Rattus norvegicus: one gene and its partner. The protein of the gene in region 1 interacts with the protein of each later gene in a pairwise test. Links are inferred from orthologs where the notes say so. Each region holds a gene or a part of one and is shown on either strand. Other genes may lie near its edges. The genes, in order: Tbl1xr1 and Arl2.

Region 1 (6,461 bases):
CAAAGGCACTACTTTGTCAGAGGTTTGGTAATCAGGTGAAACCCGATTCTCGTCGGCTGGTAGTTGGTTTTAGTATTGTGGTAATCTTTGGTTTGGTAGGATTGTGTTACTGTGTGGATTCTGCCTGGATCTTATATAACATAGGGACTGTATTGACTCCATGGAAACATTAGATTTCTATTCTGCTTTTGGTTGCAGTTGCTATCACTTAGAGCTGTGTCACTTGTACTTACCCATTAGTAATGTAGACTGCTGACGCAGGGGCTGGCTTCCCAGTTATTGTGTTCCTCATTTTCAGCCCCAGCTGGAGTAACTTGAATACATGCTAAAGACTGTGGCACTGACAAGATGTATGTCAGCCTTCCTAAGGCCGTGCCCTCTCTCAGTGGTAACTGGAGACTGGACAGGGTCTGTTGGAATTGGCAGCAGACTTTACTCTAGCATGTTCCCAGCTCCAGGAAGTGCTGGCTTGATTCCTGTCCCTCCTATTTATCTGTGGATGGTTTTGTGAGATCACGTGATCCAGTTGGTTTGCACATCTGGTAGTGGAAGTAAAGGATAGCTTTGTTCACGGATTGGCTGTGAGGGCTGAAATGAGGATGCTTGTAAAGGAGTCAGTGTGGGGCTGGCAAGGAGGAGGTCTCTGTGCTGGCTGCTGCCTCATGCCCTAACATTAAAAGAGATGTTTTTAAAATATGATGTGTCTGTGCTGAGTGTGGGTTTGTGCATGTGAGTACAGTGTCCTCTGAGGCTGGGGAAGGGTGTCTTAGCTGTAGTCACACATGGTTGTGAGATGCCTGATGTGGGTGCTGAAGGCTAAACTCTGGTTCTCAGCAAACTGTCTCCACCCCCTGCTGGCCTTTGTATGGGAAGTAGCAGTATAGCCAAGAAGATTGGGCAGTGTAGAGTTTTTCTGTGTTTAAAATATGTAGGTATTTTTGGTGTTGATCCCCCCCCCCCCCCAGGTAGGTTTTCTGGTAGCCCAGTTTGGCAAATTGTTATGTAGTAGATACCTTGATATGCCTTGCCAAGTGCGAAGCTTATAGGAATCTGAAACCATGTTTGTCCCAGACACCCTGCTTTATGTTGTGTTTGCTAACACTGATGCTTCAAGAGGAAAGTTGCTAACGTAGTAGATAAGTTGCACATTTTCTCCACACCTGGGTCAGTCATTTCCCATGTATATGTAAATGCCATGAAAAACTATGATGTCATTGATTTTCATTCAACACTGGGCGAAAGAAACAATGCTGTTTGTTTTCGCAGAAGTAACTGAAATAAAGCACACGGGTTGTTGGTGCGGGGGAGCTGGGCTACAGTCATTTTCTGTACTTCTCCTGTTTGTTTGTCCCCCTCCCCCAGGTTTGGTTATATTTTCCCCCTGTATCTCCACCTCTTACCTTACTTCCCAACTTCATGTTTATTTGCTCGTGCTCCCCCCTCCCTCTTTCTCTCTCTCTCAAGTCACCTTTTTTTTTCTTACCCTAATTAGTCCAATTTCTGCTGCTCCTATACACATTGGTGTGGGGTCAGCCAGTGGAGCATTGCTGATCTACCCTTAGATAAAACTGGCTCTCCCTCTCCCAGAAGCCATCAACTGTCATTATCAGCTTTTAGGGGTGGGGGCTAATTAGCCCTTCTATACTGGAATATTGACTGGTTTTGATAATTATGCAAGTCTTACACAGGCAACCACAGCAGCGGAGAATTTGTGAGGGCATCAGTCCTTTCGTGTTTAGAGACACTGTTTAGTATAGTCCTGCTGAACCTCTGGTTCTCGCAGTCTTTCCCTACCCACTCATTCTTGATGCTCCCTGAACTTTGGGGACCCATAGATGGCTGAATACTCCACAGATCTGTATTCTGACCATTCGTGTATTAACTATCCTCCACTGCGCAAAGATGCTGTCTCCTAAGGTCTGAGTGCTGCACTAATGTGTGGGTACGGATATTTATCTAGAGCTAGTTTGATATTATATTCATTTAGCAATGTAATAGTATTTTCACCCCTGGTTTAGAAGCCATGGGTTCTTGGCCAACCTTAGAGTACCAGATAGAAGTTTCTTCCTGTGGAACTGGCCCTAGAACCAATTAAAGGAAAACAAGAAAAGAAAAAAGCCCCTGGCTACCCTTGTAACATAATGTGCCACTACTGTACCTCTAGGGACATCCTAACCCCGCTAGTTATTACTACAGCTCATGGGGTTCACAGTGAGACTGTTGAAGATGTTTCTTCTCCAGCAGCCTGGGTAACAACTGGCGGTACTATGACAGTGAGCAAGCAGGCAGAAGGCTTCCAGTCACCAGCTTCATTTCTCCATGGCCTATGACCATTCTTTTTAAACCTATAAATTGATTATAATATTTAATACTATTATTAATTCAGTGAAGTTGGGAACTGTGGATTTGAGATAATATAGAATATACTTTTCAATGTTTATGAGTTTAGAATCAGTATTCAGGATAGGAAGAAAGAAAGTTGACATTCTGAACTCAGACAAATCAATTATGATCATATTTATTGTTCCATGCCCATGACATTCTTCCGTAGCCCAGGCTAGTCCTGAGCTCATCTTCTTACCTCAGCTTCCTGAGTGTTGGCATCATAGGTGGGTCAGTGTGCCTGGCTTTTTCCTTAAGTCTTGTGTTGGGGTCCGTGAGCTGTCACTTTTTTCTAGACTAGATGTCTGCAGACACGTCCTTGATGCAGTTGTCTGTTTGTGACCAGGTAGGGCCTTCCTGAGGACACTTGTCTTACCAGTGTTTCACCAGGAGCTCCTGGTGAAGTACAAACTGCACTCTGTTCGTACTGAATTGGTGAGGCTTTCCAAATGATGTGTGCGGTTTCTGGTCCTTCCAGACCCTTGTCTCTTTGAAGGCCGTATAAGCCCAGAAAAGAGGGTGGCCTAGCAGTTCAACTCATTGTGTTCAAAGTATAAGATTATCCGAATCTGCTCGGGTGTCTGGTTTTGTAGGTTGGGCCACCTCTAGAATCTTTTTTGGGAGGTGAGGGGTTAGGATAAGCTGTTAAAACAAGAAATATTCCCACAACTGAGGTAAGGAAGACTTGGACCTGAGGTTAGTAGTTATAGCTGATTGAGTCATTGACTGGTCTGCCATGTTGGTTCCCTGTTCTTTGTAATCTGGTTCCCTGCTAAACCATTTCTCTTTGGTTCTGGTCTTTTTGTGAGCTCTTGGAGCACCATATACCTTAGGTGGCCCACCCTTTCACTGTGGTGTACACGTAGGGCTTTGAGGCTGTGCAGTGCACAAATTATTAATTCTGTTTCCTGCTAGCCCTTGAGTCACTTGCTGTGTCATGTAAGGAACTTTACTTTCTTCTCTGGTCTGTGTCGAATGTTGATTGATGGCAGAGTTCCTTCATTCATGATTATGAGTTGCAACAAAACAGATAGAAGAGAAAAGAGGATCAGAGTTGGGAGAAATAGAAGTAGCTCCCACAGTTGTGAGCTGGCCACATCCTTAGCTACTGATACAAACTTCCTAGATAATCCGAAACTTGGGCTCCTGGAGATGTGGGAGTAGAGGAATGTGTGGGGTGAGGAGCTAAGTGAGCTGTCAGGATCTGGCGTTTTCAAATCATACGTCAGAAGGGAACATCTTGATTATTTCTTCAGAACCAGATCTGCATTTGAGGAAACAGGGCTTCCAGTCTACGAATGAACTAAAGTGATTGCCACAATACTTCATTGATATTTTCAAAGAATTAGAAATTCACCAGTAAATTTTAAATTAGGAAGGATATTGCAATGAGAAGTCTGTGCTGACACTTTGCCCTGGTGGAAGTCAGGAGGGGTTAGTTCCTTTGGGCTCTTCCTTTTGTACCCTTTAGGTGGGTAATTGACCCCTTGTAGCTGTGCTCTGCTTGCTTGTGGATGTGCTTTTGCACTTGGCAGTTCTCAGTCTCTTTCCTTTTTGGGTCAGCTCTTGTGCAGAGCAGGCTGTGGTGCTTCATGACTCCTTTGTCTTTCTTGGGTTCCTTTGTCAGATGACGAGTGTACTGTTATCTTTAAGCAAACATTATGATGTTGGCCAGTGAGGTAAGTTTGCTTACCTCCAAGACTCATCGTAGTCTGAGTTGAGTCTGTAGGACTCACATGTTGAATGAGAGAAACAACTTCTCGAAGTTGTCCTCTGACCTGCCCTTGTGCATGGTGGGCAGCACTCCGTGCCCACATGCCCATATGACATCACACTTACGTGTACATGCTGTAACTTAATGGCTGTGGTGTGAAGCTGCCTGAGGGTTGAGTTGTCATGTGGTAGTAGGATGGACGCTGCTGAGTTCAGGAATAAAGGAAAGCTTAGACTCATTTACTTTACTCACTTCCTTTCCTTGCAAAATACTGCATATTTGTTATGGGTTTAAGTAGAGTGGAAATTTGAGGACAAGCTCAAAAGAATGGTTCAGGGTGTGGAAAACAGGGAAATTCTGTGGCGTTAAGGAGACAGCTGCTCTGGCTTCTGCACCCTCCCTCTCCTCGTTCTTATTTTGCCTGAGGAGGAACAGTAGAGCAACTCAGGAGGTTACTAAATTCTTCCTTTTCAGGGGTACACCCTCCCCCCTTTTCATTTTTGGGAGAGAGCCCCATACTATAGTCCTGCTGGCCTGGAAAATGATACGTAGACTAGTTTGGCCTTAAATTTGTAGTTAAGTCCCTGTCTTAGCATCGGCCTCCCTGGTGCTAGGGTGACTCTAAGGGATCCAGGCTTTTTGTCTTACTGCAATTCTGATATTCTGTTCAAGTCTTGTCCAGCAGTCAAACAGTGGTTTTATTTTTCTACCTGAAATTAAACATTTTTCTCCTGAGAAATTAGCCACTAAAATTTTTACTAGTGTTTTAATTTGGATTGTTAATTTTGGTAATGTTTGTTTTAAAGTTGTGTAAGGGTCCATGATTCGGCAAAGAATGATACCCTGAACTCTCAATAGTATGTAAATGCAGAGTGTTTTTTTTTTTTTTTTTTTTTCTACAGAAGTCCAGCATGCTGGGCTCTCCCATTACCAGAATAGAGCTTTTATGCCTGATTTAAAGCACATTAGGGCATTCCGGGTTTGGTGACCCTTATGTTAATCTGTTGGGTCCCATCTCTAAGGACATTCTCTTGGGGACTGTGGGGGCTGTAAACTTGCTGGGGGAAGTCTGGAAATGCTGCTGACCCATTGTCCTTGCCTCAGGCCAGGTGGTAGGGCAGCTTCTGAGGCCTGGGGTTGCCTGGAATTGCCCAGTTCTTGGATACAAATTTAGGCCTAGCCGCCTGAACTGCCAGTTTGAAGCCTGTCATGGAATCAGCCTAGTCTCCTTAGTTGTATGGGTTTTGAGTGCCCCATTTTTCTGTTTTAAATTCCTGTTGTCTTCAGCATTTGATTTTACGTAAATTGAAATTTTCCACCAGTCGGAGTTTGAGAATATGTAGCAGAAACACCTTCATGTGCTGCTGTGTGGCACTGTGGAGATGTTTGTTGACATTTGTTGCCTTCCTTTTCTATTTCCTCAAACTGGCCACAGTCTGTAATCTCAATAAGGCAGAGTCAGGAGGAGGATTGCAACCAGGAGCTAACCTGGTCTACTTAGTTAGTCCCGGATAGCCAGGACTACATGGTGAGATTTGGTCCCCAAAATTGAACCAACAAACAAAAAGGCTGAGTATGGTGGTCCGGTGGTCTGCACCTGTAATGCTAACACTTTGAAGGTGGAAGCAGGAGGATCAGAACTTCAAGGCTAGCTTTGGCTACAGAGCAAGCCTGGGCTATGTAAGACTATGGCACACAAAAGAACACTAAGACCACCATCACCACCACTACCACCAAAAATGTAATGAGAATAAAACACAGTGAATAAAAGCAAAGTGGGGACAGTTATTCTTTAGTATGCGAGGACTGACCTTTCCTGACTGCACATCTCAAACTTCACAGTGATTCCCCTCTGCACTGCTGAACAACCCTGGCAGCTCCGTACCCAGGGATGCTTTTGCTCCTGCCATAGCTGCTTTGTTCTTTGTATCAGGCTCTGCCCTGAGATAGGCATGCACACTGAAGTAGTGCTCGTCCCATGTGACGCTTAGGTTTCTTGTTACTATTACCATTTTACCATTTTTATGAAAAACATGGTGTGAGTGTTTTCTTCTACTGACACCTCCTCCTCCTATCTGCGTATTTAACCTGGATGAGAGCAGGCATGGGTTCTGATTCTCTTGTCACTCTCCCAGTATCTGGAATAGACTTGCAGGTGTTTAGTATTTTTAAGCCCATTAACTCTTTTTGACCCACTGATAACTTAGAGTGGATTTACTTTTATTATGGATATGTATCTTTAAGAAGCCGGGATTTACGGTGTGCTAGAGGAGATGAGATTACTTTGGTGTTTACATAATGTTTGTAGCTAGTTCTTAGCAGCTATATCAATCTGAAAAAAATAGTTGAAGAACTGATACTAAAA
Region 2 (5,796 bases), on another chromosome or scaffold:
GGCATCTACCCCCTCTGTTGGCTGATCAGTCCGATCTTTATGCCACTCCTGTGCTTTAGTGAGCTCCTGTTGACAGTCATGAAGGGGGGTGTCTAGGTCAGGGTCCAGGAGCAGGGTTGCAGGGTTTAGACTCGTAGGGGCAGTCTGGAATCACAAAGAACAAGTGGGATACCCGGCCCACGCCAAGGTCCACTGTTCTTCGGGTAGTCCATGAGTATCATTTGTTGCCGGTAGTCCCCTGTACTCAAGGTCTTTTGCTGGACACTAGCCCATTTGGGCGTAGGAGCACAGAGTGTTGGGCCCCCGTATTCACAAAACAACTGGGCAGGCTTCCCTTCTATCTTTGCGGACAGCCAGCACTCTAGGACCAAGAGACTTGCCTTCCGGGCTGCTGGAGAGGCCCCTCTTGTTCTTCTTGGGGCAGTCCCTGACCCAGTGTCCTTTTTCCTTGCGATAGGCACACTGATCTTTAGCTAGGAATTCTCTTCTGTTGCCAGGTACTGTCTTCCTAGGTTCCCTAACTACTGTGGCCAGTATATATTCCTCTCCTGTCTTTTATCTCTCTTTAGCTCTCTAGCTTCTTTTTCCTTTTGTCTCTTTTCTTCCTTAGCTTCCTGCTCTTTTTACCTTCTTTCCTCTTTTTCTTCCTCAGTCTCTCTCTCATACCTTCTGCATCTTCTTCTACAGCTATTAGATGTTGTCCACTTATGTAACTACACTTTAACTTTATTTTTTCTGTAACTTACACTAACTCTCAGCAACTTAGCTTAACCCTTTAAATTTCTGTAACTTTCTCTCTTTATATCTTTTTTTTATCTTAGCCAGATTGGTGGGGCATTTTTTAGCCCCTCGGAGACCCACCCTTGGAGCCTGGTGGCAGACCTGGAGCACTCCCTACCTTCAGGGGTATTCAAGTCAACAGTCAGGAGTGAGGGTCTTCTATCCATGTCTGGAACATTCTTTTTGGCCTCTAGTAGGATTCCGTCTTTCCTCAGTGGTAAAGAAGACCTGTAACAGTCTAGAGAATAGAGGTCCACTGAAGAGGACAAATAGCATTTAGTCACACAGCTAAACCAGGAGGACTTTTTGGGACAAAAAGGCCGTTGTAAAAATAAGCACAAGCTTTGTGTCTGTGAAACAGAACGGCAAGCAGAGAGGGAGCTGATCTGTTACTGACTATCTCTCTGGACTTAAGAACTAATAACAAAAGGATGGAGAGATGGTTAGGACCTGGGTGCTAGATGCCAAGTGGCTGACAAAAGAATTGTAACCAGTTCACCTGGGACTTTCAGGACCTCAGTAGCAGCCCTTTACCAAACTGTCTCAGTGGGCTAAAGGTCCATGGAAAAGAAAACATTAATACTGACCTTGGCCACAGCCAAAGCTTGAATTCTAAATTTTGACTGGCAAAACAAAGTTCTTCACAGTTTGTTGTAGATTCCCTCTGAAACTATCTCAGGGGCTTCTCTGTCCCCCAACCTGGGGCATTTTGACCACAGGGGCAGGAACTGGCTGCTGTGGGGATAGGATCAAAGGCACTCTCCATGTCAATGATGACTAACAGGGAAGGTTATTTAATGTTGGAGATCAACTCCTCTCTTGGAATAGGGCCAGCAGATAAGGCAGGCTCCCTTCCTTAGAAGCTGTGAATGTTTAAGCAACAGGGAGAAATTTTTCTTCAGGATCCAAGGTAAAGCTTTCAGGCTCTTGTTAATACCTGCTTCAGACAGGGTCACTCACTAACCTGGAGTTCTTCATACACAACTGTTAACAGCAGCTAGACTGGACAAGGGGAGCAAAGGGAGGGGCATCTCTCCTTGGGGAGGAGGCTAAGAGAGAAAGATAAAACTCCCTGGCAGAAAACAATTTTTCTCAAGCAAATTATTTCCAAGTTAAGCACCAAGAGGACCAAGTAAAACTCCTTGACAAACAAAGCAAACAGTTTCATGATTTCAAACACAGTTGTCAGTCCAAGATTTTAAACACAGTCGTCTGTCCAAAGTCCAAAAACGAAACAAAAGCCAAAAAGACACTGGACAATACCACAGAAAACAAACCAGACAAACAAGACCAAGACAAAGCATCCTATAACCAATTTCCACAGATATTCAAAGAAAATTAGGACACAAAGAAGACAAACAATTTCAACAGTCAGACAGACAGACGCACCGCGCGGCTTCAGTGTCAAACTGAAACCAAAAATTCAGACAGAGGTGACGAGGGTCCGGATCCTTCAGTGGATCCGGCTCTCTCCTCTCTCCTCCAACCCAAAACCACGTATCCTTCCGATACAGGCTGAGCCCCGAAAAACCGGGCTCTAAACACCCTTGGAACGTCTTCCAGGGCTGCGGGGGAGAAGTCCGAGCTCGTCAGCTCCTTCTCTGGCCCGCCCAAATACAAACGGTCTAGACCCAAGCCAAGTAACTAAGCATTTACAGAACAAGTCACAAAGCAAGACAAGACAGGACAAGACAAACACTGGCCAGCTTACCTCCCGGTGGGTGGTCGGTGGTCTCTAGGCAGAGGATCTCCGATCCCGGACGAGCCCCCATATGTAAGACTCTCAGAGAGAATCTTCTCTCAGGAGGGAGATCCTCAAGCCCCAATGACCAGTCCGAGTCCACCGGCTGTAATCTGTAAGAGGATTTTTTATTGATCAGGGAGCACAGGTATCTGTGGGCGTCCCAGTCAATTTGGAAGACTGGTGCGCCTAGCAGAACCAGGGACGGGTTTTTATAGGGCATTGGGGAGCAGAAGCAGGCTTACAGAAGCAGATGCATGGTTACAGGGATGTGATTGGTGGAGTAAATGAGGCATACGTGTATGTTACCTATTTTGGCTATAATCATAACAGTGAGTTAGCAAAAAGTACATGGTGGTCAGGGCTTCCGGGGGGTCAGGGACTTTTTCTTTTTCTTGTCAGGTGGCCCATGGAGCAGTGCCCATAATTTAGTCTGGTTTCTGTATTTTGTTTTCTTTTCTGGTCTGTTTCGTCTAAATGATGGGTCAGCTTGTCCCACATATCTAAAAACTTATTTTTTACTTCTATAGTTGAGGGCCTTGGGCTTGTATAATTCCCTTTCTGGGAGGGGGTCTTTTAATTTAGTCATTTTGCTAGTGTGTGTTTCATAAGGGTGGTGGCTTTGTCCACTAACAGCTGAGGGGGCCTGGCACTTAGTAGGCACTCAATATTTGGTGTGTAAATTAAGTTACTTTGAGATGGCCGACATGATAGAATTCCATTTTCATACTTCCACATTTATCTCAGTCCAATTATGGGTGAGGTGTGTGCTCAACTTGCTTCAACATGCAGTAGGGAAATACCAGTCCCTAGGAGAGTGGTAGGGTGATGACATGTCCTCCAGGAGAGCTCAGGGACATCTCCTTAGCCTGTGTACCCCAGTGGCTTGGACAATGCTGGCAAAACAACCATCCTCAAGAAGTTCAATGGAGAAGATGTGGACACCATCTCGCCAACACTGGGCTTCAACATCAAGACCCTGGAGCACCGGGGGTGAGTGGGGTCACTGTGGGCCATTGTGGGGCTGGGAGGAGGCTGGGAGGGCAGGACCAGCCTGACCTCCATTGTCCCTTCCTTCCCAGATTCAAGCTGAACATCTGGGATGTGGGTGGCCAGAAGTCTCTGCGCTCCTACTGGAGGAACTACTTCGAGAGCACAGATGGCCTCATCTGGGTGGTGGACAGCGCTGACCGCCAGCGCATGCAGGACTGTCAGCGAGAGCTGCAGAGTCTACTGGTGGAGGAGGTGTGCCCTGTGCTCACTGGCAGCCAGGCCACAGCCTGCCACAAGTGCCATGGTTTACTGGGACACTCAGGGAGGGAGGTAGGGGTCCACTCACTTAGTGGGCCCTGAGCTGAGACCTGGACAGACGCACATCTCTGCTTTTACTGGTTCACCTCCCACCTCCCTGAGTTTCAGTCCCATTGCTGCAGGGGCCTCAAGGCTAGGGTGCCAGCAATGCTCAGGGGGGCAGTGAAGCTTACACAGGAATCTAACCTTGTTGTGTGGCTTCTGGAAGACCCTTAACCTGAGCCTTAACTCCCACATTCCTAAAGCAGTGATTAGGCCAATCTTGCCATTTGTTGTCTGGATCGAAAGACTTGTTATGTTGACAACAGAGTTTTACTCATCTCAGGCTGGCCCAAACTGGCTAACACTGTCCTTGAAATCCTGGTCCACCTGCCTCTACTTCCCAAATGACGTGCGTGCCACACTCCTTCATTGTTGGCTACTCATTTGTTTGGGCAGGTGTTTTGGTTTTGGGCTTGTTTGTTTGTTTGGCAGCAGAGTTGGGGTAGGTGTTTGAGATCAGGTTTCCTTATGTAGTCCAGGCTGGCTCCAAACTCTTTCTCCTCCTGCCTTAGCCTCCTGAATGCCAGGCTTACAGTGGGCACCCCTTAGCCATGCTCAGGCATTACTGTTACCTTCAGCTGCTAGTTTTATTTGGACACTGCTCTGTCTGCCCTGGAACTTGGATCATGTTGCCACATTTCAGTTAGTTGAAGGCCAGGGCACTTTTGCGAGAGTAAGAGGGAGTTGCTAATGGCTGTATGGGAACCACAGGGATGCATGGGACTTTAGGTTTACACATGCCCCTGGTATGACTTCAGCCCCTTCTGTAGCATTGAACAGGTCTAGAGAGGTCATTGTTGTCAGAGGCTGAGTCAAGGCTCAGCAGGGCTAGGCCCAGAAGTTAGATTTCTGTTTGCACCAGGAGAGGTTCCAAAGACTAGCACACCAAGGGGATTAAGTAGAGAGACCAACAGGGCCGTCTGCTGGAAGTAAAACACAAGGATTCTGTGAACTGGGAGGACAGGGCAGGTTGTTTTATCCCAGTCCCCAGGGCAGCCCTCAGCACACCTATGCTTTCTGCACATGGCCAGAGCTACAGAGGGCTTGGGGATCATTGTGGGCAACATCCTCTTCCTGAGGCTTGGAAGAGAGAGATACCCACTGTGTGGTAGCATCAGTAGCCCTGTCTACTGCCTGCCCCCTGTGGGCCTCCTCCACAGCCTGGAGCTCTCTTACTGACCACCAACCTCATGTCTTATACCAAAGGGATCAAGCTCTATGTGAAGCTTCCCCCACCCCCAACCCATCTTCTCTTTCCCCAGCGCCTGGCTGGAGCGACCCTCCTCATCTTTGCCAACAAGCAGGACCTGCCTGGAGCACTGTCCTGTAATGCTATTCAGGAGGTGAGTCAGGCCCTGGTTCAGGTCCACTGAGTAAAGCTGAAGGGTCTTTAGGACTTTATTATTTTGATTTTACTGTTGTTTTGTTTTGTTTTTTTGAAACTGGGTCTTGACAGCCCTAGAAGCTTCAGACTTACTAGGAAGCCGAGGATGACCTTGAACTACTCACTCATCCTCCTGCCTCCGCCTCCACCTCCGAGCACTTGGGATTCCAGGTGTGTACCACCACGTCCGGTTTCTGCAGTGCTAGTGTTCGCTCCCATGGCTGTGCATGCTAGGCAGCTCTGCTGAGCTCCACCCCCAGGCCCCATCTTATTTTATTTATTTTTGATACAATTTCTATAGCCTAGGCTATTCTAGAATACACTTTGTAGTCCAGGGTGGTCTCAAACTCAGCAGCAGTCCTCTTGCCTGGAATTTCAAGCATGCACCTCCATGCCTGGCTAATAATTGGTATTAACAGCTATTATTAGCTCCTGCTGTGTGACAAGACCTAGCCGGGTCCTGGGACTTGATGATTAATAACATGGAGTACCCCTCGGTCTGGGAGGAGGCAGACCTGTAACTAGATCATCTCAGGAT

The links.
Region 2: the proteins of Tbl1xr1 (region 1) and Arl2 interact in binary tests that used the Homo sapiens proteins (3 or more experiments, as listed by UniProt). The two-hybrid records come from large-scale screens. The link is inferred for Rattus norvegicus from reciprocal best matches to the Homo sapiens genes TBL1XR1 and ARL2.

Annotation. Positions count from the first base shown.
Region 1 is NC_086020.1:106,727,943-106,734,403, forward strand, and holds the start of Tbl1xr1 (F-box-like/WD repeat-containing protein TBL1XR1), read left to right. Parts: upstream 1-2,722; 5' UTR 2,723-2,836; intron 2,837-6,461. UniProt on the Homo sapiens protein: F-box-like protein involved in the recruitment of the ubiquitin/19S proteasome complex to nuclear receptor-regulated transcription units. Plays an essential role in transcription activation mediated by nuclear receptors.
Region 2 is NC_086019.1:212,864,310-212,870,105, reverse strand, and holds part of Arl2 (ADP-ribosylation factor-like protein 2), read left to right. Parts: exon of another isoform or gene 1-1,018; intron 1,019-2,491; exon of another isoform or gene 2,492-3,403; coding exon 3,404-3,514; intron 3,515-3,603; coding exon 3,604-3,766; coding exon of another isoform or gene 3,767-3,844; intron 3,845-5,136; coding exon 5,137-5,217; intron 5,218-5,796. UniProt on the Homo sapiens protein: Small GTP-binding protein which cycles between an inactive GDP-bound and an active GTP-bound form, and the rate of cycling is regulated by guanine nucleotide exchange factors (GEF) and GTPase-activating proteins (GAP).